Sus scrofa: one gene and its partner. The protein of the gene in region 1 interacts with the protein of each later gene in a biochemical or structural test. Links are inferred from orthologs where the notes say so. Each region holds a gene or a part of one and is shown on either strand. Other genes may lie near its edges.

Evidence for each region.
Region 2: of the proteins of IFIH1 (region 1) and TRIM65, one has a biochemical effect on the other in vitro, tested with the Homo sapiens proteins (2 studies listed by BioGRID, with this or other methods). The link is inferred for Sus scrofa from reciprocal best matches to the Homo sapiens genes IFIH1 and TRIM65.

Annotation. Positions count from the first base shown.
Region 1 is NC_010457.5:68,943,646-68,947,145, reverse strand, and holds part of IFIH1 (interferon-induced helicase C domain-containing protein 1), read left to right. Parts: coding exon 1-35; intron 36-1,148; coding exon 1,149-1,366; intron 1,367-2,714; coding exon 2,715-2,831; intron 2,832-3,500.
Region 2 is NC_010454.4:5,521,868-5,525,855, forward strand, and holds the start of TRIM65 (tripartite motif-containing protein 65), read left to right. Parts: upstream 1-1,188; 5' UTR 1,189-1,444; coding exon 1,445-1,870; intron 1,871-2,987; coding exon 2,988-3,083; intron 3,084-3,780; coding exon 3,781-3,988. UniProt on the Homo sapiens protein: E3 ubiquitin ligase that plays a role in several processes including innate immnity, autophagy or inflammation.

The DNA of each region.
Region 1 (3,500 bases):
AGAAGAAGGAGAAGACCCTGGTGTACAGCTGTCAGGTTGGTTAAAATGTTTATTTTTGGAAAGATAATTAGTAGTAATATTAATGGTAGTAAAAGAAGCTGTATTTCTTAGTTTTTAAAATGTTGATTTAAAAATTAATTATGATTTAGATTGTCTTCCATTTTTTTTTCAATAAAACCCTTCTTCCTTGTGAAAGCAAATAAAAAACTGGAGACGTTTTTAGTCAGATCACTTTATTCTGCATAAGAACATCACTTTTTTCCATCTTTTTGTCTTTTCTAGGGCTGCACCCATGGCATAGGTTGTTCCCAGGCTAGGGGTCCAATCAGAGCTATAGCCTCACCAGCCTACACCAGGGCCACAGCAACATGGGATCTGAGCCAACGTCTGCGACCTACACCACAGCTACCGGCAACGCCAGGTCCTTAACCCACTGAGCGAGGCCAGGGATCAAACCCAAAACCTCATGGTTACTAGTCGGGTTCGTTAACCACTGAGCCACAACGGGAACTCCAGAACATCATTATTAAATCAAACATTTTCTAGACTTTGCATTAATTCTGTATTTCTAAGTTCTTTTTATATGTTAGTGGATCCTGTTAGATATGCCTTCTTCTCCAGAGAGTAAATATAATCTTTTCTGTTTTGTGGGGGATGGGAAGAAAAGTTAGGCAAGAGGAAGAGAAAGAAGTATATATACTCATAATAATTAAATGCAAAGTTTAAACAAAGTAAAATGATTCCTCTTTAAATAGTGTTTTTCATTTGATAGAATGAAAATAAAATTCACCAACTTAAAATTATATATTTTATTAAAAAACAAAATTGCATTTCTGAGAGTTTTGGGGGAAAAGCCAGAGTTTGAAATCCATGCCATAACACTTTTTAGATCTATAAATTTTCCAAAACTCATCTATTAAATGAGCATAATAGTTAACAGAGATAATTTCCTGATTACTGTACATGAACTTATGTATTTACAGGTGGCTAGGATAGTTGCATTTGCCCTTAAAAAGTAAAAACTGCTTGTGTCAGTATTCTGCCCAAGAAAATACATCTCCAAGGCAGCTCAGTCTACCAGCTAAAAGAGCCTTTTTTAACTGTATTTTGTCAGTATGGGCAAATAAACCATTTAAATTTTTTTTAAGACTTTTCTCTCATCATCATTGACGAATGCCATCACACCAACAAAGAAGCAGTCTATAATAACATCATGAGGCGTTATTTGAAACAGAAATTGAAAAACAATAAACTCAAGAAAGAAGAGAAACCAGTGATTCCCTTACCTCAGATATTGGGACTAACAGCCTCACCAGGTGTTGGGGGAGCCAAAAAGCAAGCCAAAGCTGAAGAACATATTTTAAAAGTAAGTCATTAACTTTCTTCATAACCAGAAAAACCAAAGTTAGAGCAAATGCCAATACTTCTTGGGTAAGATTAGGTCCAGATGCCATGGAGTGCAGGAAAGAAGCTATTCCATGATCATCAGTTGAGCGAAATCTATATGCTTTAGTTAATGTAAATACACTCAGTCTTCTACAAAATAGAAATATGCCTTAGTAAATAACTATGACATGGAATAATAGCCCCCAAATTATAGAGAGCAAACGTAAGTATTAAAAAATTGGGACAAATGAAATACCTTCCTTTAAATATCTACTCCTATTTTTAAACTTAATGATCTACTTTATATAGAAATATGCATAAGCTAAGAAAGTTTCTAATTTCATACATACTCCATGAGTTTTAGAATTGCATATTTTCTTCTGAGCCTTTTTTTGTTCTGTGTGATTCTCAGATTCTAGGTAATTCAAATTAAATGGGAAAATGGAGATATGAGAATCTTTAAATTTGTTTTGTTTTGTTTTGTTTTTTTCTTTTTTGGCTGCCCTGTGGCCTATGGAATTTCTGGACCAGGGATCAGATCTGAGCCACAGCTGTGACCTACACCACAGCTGTAGCAATGCAGGATCTTTAACCCACAGGCCAGGGATTGAACTTGCATCCTGGCACTTCAGTGACATCAACAGTACTGTTGTACCACAATAGGAACTCCAAAAGTCTATATCTTGTCAGCTGCCTGCAGATGGTAACAATATATACAGTGCTTTTGTTGATCTCAAGCACTGAAAGAATTCAGAGTAATTCACAAAGTATGTTAGCGCTAAAGCCCTTACTTTAAGTTGAAGTCAGTGAAAATCATATAGAGTAGACAAAAGCACAATTATTGGTTAGAACATATAATTTATTACTAGTATTAAGGATTAACTGCAATTCAAATTCAGGCACATGGGCTTCAGCTGCTCCTAGCTTTGTAGTATCCTCTTTTATGTGTGGAAGAAAGTGATAATATGATCCATGGATATCAAGATGACCTTTAAAATGCATCATGTAATATGGTTATCTCATAACCATTCTTGCTGATCTCTGCAATTTGCTGTATTCTCTCCACATCGTTTTTTTCAGCTGGAAAGTGAAATTTAAGGAATGTAAATAAATATATTTCTTTCTGGAATTTTCTGCCAACCCAATTTCAAAGCATCTTTTTACTCTATCAGGGTAGATTTTGTTGGCTAATCAGATCCACAGTAAGGCAATATTAAAATGCTATATTTAGCAAATTGTGCTACCTATTTCTTACATGAGAAAGATTTCTGCATTGAGTTAATTGAAAGGGAAAAGTATTTGAATATCAAAACCTGTCTCTTTTCCAGATATGTGCCAATCTTGATGCATTTACCATTAAAACTGTGAAAAAAAATATTAATCAACTTAAAGACCAAATAAAGGAGCCATGCAAAAAGTTTGTAATCGCAGATGACACCAGAGAAGTATGTGCTTAAGATTTTATATTTATTTACTTGATGACATCATACCTAACTGCAAAGGTCATTTTACAGTGAGCATCCAAAGAATATTATTTTAAAATTTTAGCAAAGAGTTACAGTTTTATTAAATTTTATTGATATTAGGCAGCAAGGCACTGCTGTGAATTCACTGTTCAAATCTTTTAGTTTTCTGAACTAGATGAAGAGTAGCTCAATAACTGGTTGATGGTTGATATATATGAACTGTGGGGTGGGAAGGATTGTGAAGCTAGAGGGGTTAACATAGTTTCTCTTATTCTTTTTACTTTCTTGGTGAATTCCAGTATTTGTTTCTTGACATTGAACAGAGCCATTTTTTGCTACCAGATTACAGTTGGTGGTGATAATGAGAATCCTACCTAATTGGCATATTTACCTTCTTAAGAAAATACTTATGGTAAAGAAGTGAAATATTTACTTTAATGGTGTTTTTGGAATAAGTATCTTCACTGATTATAAAAACCAACTTAGAGTCAGTTTGGACATTATGACTAGTACATTATGTCAATACATTCTTTTGCAAAATATAAAAAGTAGGATAAATTTTAGCTTTACTTACTTGATAATAAATTTAAGCTCTGTGTACTTGAGGTTCTGAAAATCTACCTCATAAGAATGTTGGATATGAAATAT
Region 2 (3,988 bases), on another chromosome or scaffold:
TCCAGGTGTTTTGAATAAGAAGCCTTGTCAGGTGGGGCAAAGGCAAGTGTGAGAGCTCTCTGGGCACACCCCCTGCTCGAGGCCCAAAGAGCCCCTGTGACCTTGCTGGCTGGCTAGAGGAATTTTCTCTCTAAAGGGCAAGACTGCCTAGTAGCTAGTCAAGAGGATCAGCGCACCTTTTCCAGAAAGAAAAACTTCACATATTATGACACAGGGGTCATAATATGATACTTGCTGCATGGCAGTGAGAGGAGTCCTGCCTCAAAATCAGGCCAGCTTGGCGCTCCCGTTTGATCCCTAACCTCGCTCGGTGGATTAAGGATCCAGTGTTGCCGTGAGCGGTGGTGTGGTTTGCTGATGTAGCTTGGATCCTGTGTTGCTGTGGCTGCAGTGTAGGCCAGCAGCTGCAGCTCTGATTCAACCCCTAGTCTGGGAGTTTGCATATGCTGCTGGTGCAGCTCTAAAAAGCAAAAACAAACGAACAAAAAAGTTCAAAAAAAAAAATCAGGCCAGCTCCGTTAGAAAGAAGGGAGAGTTAATCTCCCTCCAACTCGCCTTGGCCCAACACACGCTGCACCCCCAGGCCAGTGACTGACGCCTCCTGCTCAGCTGCAGGAGAACCGCCTCTGAAGAATCAGGTTCCAGGACAGCTTGGACCTGCAAACAAGGAACCCCCCAGCAGAGGGCTGACTCCTAGCAAGGTTTCCAAGTACAGTTGAAAAGGATTGCTTTGCATTTCCATTAAAGGGGCTAGGAGGAAACCACTGTTTTCTGCTGTCTCTTGGTAACCAGAAGAATTCCACCTCACTGTTTAAAAGAACCAAAATTAGGCATAACCTAGGGAAAGACGACATCCCAATCTGGCAAGTATCTGAAACTCAGCTCAAAGAAAAAGCACAGCCGAGCCCTAGGGTCAGGAGAGGGCATTAAGCGAGCACTCGTTGTTTGCCCCTAAAGCTCCTATTGCCGAGCACTCCCACGTGCTGGCCTGTCCCACGTAATCGCCAGAACACCTGGGAGATAGGTAACCTGCTGTATTATTTGTATTAGATTTTCAGCTGAGGCGCTCAGAAGAGGTTCCGTGGTGATCCTCAGCCACAAGGAGGCCCAGAGGCAGGACAGGTTTCCCAAGGCTCCAGTCGCCAGAGCCTGGGGCCGGATTCCCTGCACAGGAACTGTTGGACGAGGGTCTAGGGAAGCAGGATGGAGGTCCTAGGGTGGAGCTGGGGAGAGCTGGACCCCCACCTCCCAGCCTGGGGTGGCAGGCGGCAGGAAAGGGCGACTCGGCGCCCATAGGGGTCGAGCGCCAGAACGGGGGGCCGGCGCTGGCCGGCGCGGAAGTGCTGTCACCTTCCTCTCCCCGGCGCGACCGAGCCCCGCCCGCCCGCCGCTGCCGCCCGCCGTCCCTTTAAGAGGCCCGGCGCTGGGCCCGCGCGCCGCCGCCATGGCCGCGCAGCGGCTGGAGGACAGGCTGACCTGCGCCATCTGCCTGGGGCTCTACCAGGTACCCGTGACGCTGCTCTGCGGCCACAACTTCTGCAGGGGCTGCATCCAGGACTGGTGGGGCCGCCACGAGAAAGCGTGCCCCGAGTGCCGGGAGCCCTTTCCCGCCGGCGCCGAGCCGCGCCGCAACGTGGCTCTCAGCGGCGTGGTGGAGGAGCTGCGCGCCCGGCCCGCGCCCGGTCCCGGCCCCGGCCCCGACCCCGGCCCCGGCCCCGACTCCGACTCCGGCGCGCGCTGCCCCCGGCACGGGCGGCCGCTCGAGCTCTTCTGCCGCACCGAGGGCCTCTGCGTGTGCAGCGCGTGCACCGTGCGCGAGTGTCGCCTCCACGAGCGAGTGCTGCTGGACGCCGAGCGCCGGGAGCGCGAGGTGACGCGCCGGGGACCCCGCCCTGCTCTCTGCGCCCGGCCGGGGCGAGGGGGGGTGGGGTGCAGGGACAGCGTCTTATTCCCAGGCGAAAGGAGGCGGGAGTCAGAAAACAGACGCTTGGGATAGAGATTTCCGATCTGGTGACAAGTCCAGGTGAGGTTACAGGAGTGGCTGGGACGGAGGGGGTGGACGTGAGGAAGTCAAGGCGTCCAGAGCCGGAGTTTTGGAGGATCATCCCCTGGCCGCCGAGGGGGCAGGGAGTCAGGACAAGTGGTCGTTCGTGGGGCTGAAGACCGTGCCCTGCAGTCGCATGAAGGTTTGCAGCCGAGGCCAGCAGGTGGAGGAACAGCCACTACCCCCGAGGCAGGTGCCCTGCAGGAGCTAGAATTGGGCCAGAGGGAGAAGCGATTTTGAGGGGGTGAGAGGACTGATGCCCGCCCTTTGGGGAGGGGCAGGGTGAACCAGAAAGTCACCCTTTGGCTTCCTACTCTTAGCATGTTTTCTGGTGCTGGAGGTAGGGGGGCCTGGGCAGAGGCACAAGAATGGAATTTAGGAAGATCAGATCTGGTGACTTTGGCCAAATTATAAAATTCTCTAACCCATTCCTCATCCGTGAAGCGTGGATACTCTCAGTTCTTCAAAGTGGTGCTGGGATGAGAAAAAGCAAGACAGTTTCTTGACCAGATGCAGGGAACATAGTTCTCGCGAGTGGTCAGCCCTGCACTCCTGAGACTGCAGTGTTTGGATCCTCAGGGGACCAGACAGGCCACAATGAAATAGGGTGCCCTCTTCCTCCTCCCTTGTACATGCACCGCACTGCCACCTGCCAGACAGCTTTGGTGCTTTGGGTCTCCACCCCTTCCCTGCATTTATTTTCGGGGGGGGGGTGCGCTCCACCGGCGCCCCACTTGCTCTGGGTGGGGGAGGGGCTTTGTCCAGGCCTCCCTGGGACTCTGACTGAGGCGGATGCTCTGTGTGCTGGCCCCACCTGGGAGGGGGCGAGGGGGGGGGGATGTCCAGCCTCTGCAGGCGTTTGTTGACTGGCTGAGAAGGGACTTCACAATCCTGACCCCCTCTTGTCACTCACCCCCCACCCTGCCCCCCATGGGCACCACAGGCCCAGCTGAGAGCTACACTGGAGGTCACCCAGAAGCAGGCCACCAAGGCTGAGAGCCAACTACGGGAGCTGCAGCAGCGAAGCATCCAGGTCCAGGTACAAGGCCTGTCTGCTCCACCCCATCCTGTCCTCCAGCTCCGTCCTTCAGGCAGCTGCCAGCTGGTCCCTGAGTGTGAGCTACCTTGAAAATGCTTCCTGGAGTTCCCATCGTGGCTCAGAGGTTTAATAACCCAACATAGTCTCCATGAAGACGCGGGTTCAATCCCTGGCCTCACTCAGTGTGCTAAGGATCCGGCATTGCCATAGTTGTGGTGCAGGCTGGCAGCTGTAGCTCCTATTCAACCCCAAGCCCAGGAGCTATCATATGCCACAGGTGCACCCTTAAAAAGAAGGAAAAAGAAGAGTTCCCGTTGTGGCTCAATGCTAATGAACCTGACTAATAGCCAAGAGTAATCGAGTTCTATCCCTGGCCTCGCTCAGTGGGTTAAAGATCTGGCGTTGCCATGAGCTGTGGTGTAGGTTGCAGATGCGGCTCAGATCTGGCTTTGCTGTGGCTGTGGCGTAGGCCGGCAGGTACAGCTCCGATTCTACCCCTAGCCTGGGAACTTCCATATGCTGCGAGTACAGCCCTAAAAAGAAAAAAAGAAGAAGAAATGCCTCCTGGCAGCAAGAAATGAAAGGCTGAAGGTGGGCGGGGAGATATTTCAGGGACCTCAGCCCCCTACACCCCTGCTCTGCAGCTCAGTGGGCAGCGCAGGCCTGGCTACCCTCTACTCCTCCTGTGCCCATCCAGAGCTCAGCCTGCACCCTGGCATCCATGGTCTCTGGCAAGTTCAGCCGTCTGCTGCAGGCCCTGGAGATGCAGCGGGCCATGGCTCTGAAGGACATCGAGGCAGCCAAGACTCAGGCGCTGGAACAGGCCCGGGACGAGGAACAGCGACTGCAGGGCCACCTGGAGGCCTTGACTCACTGTGATCACAGGATTCACGACCTCCTGGAGC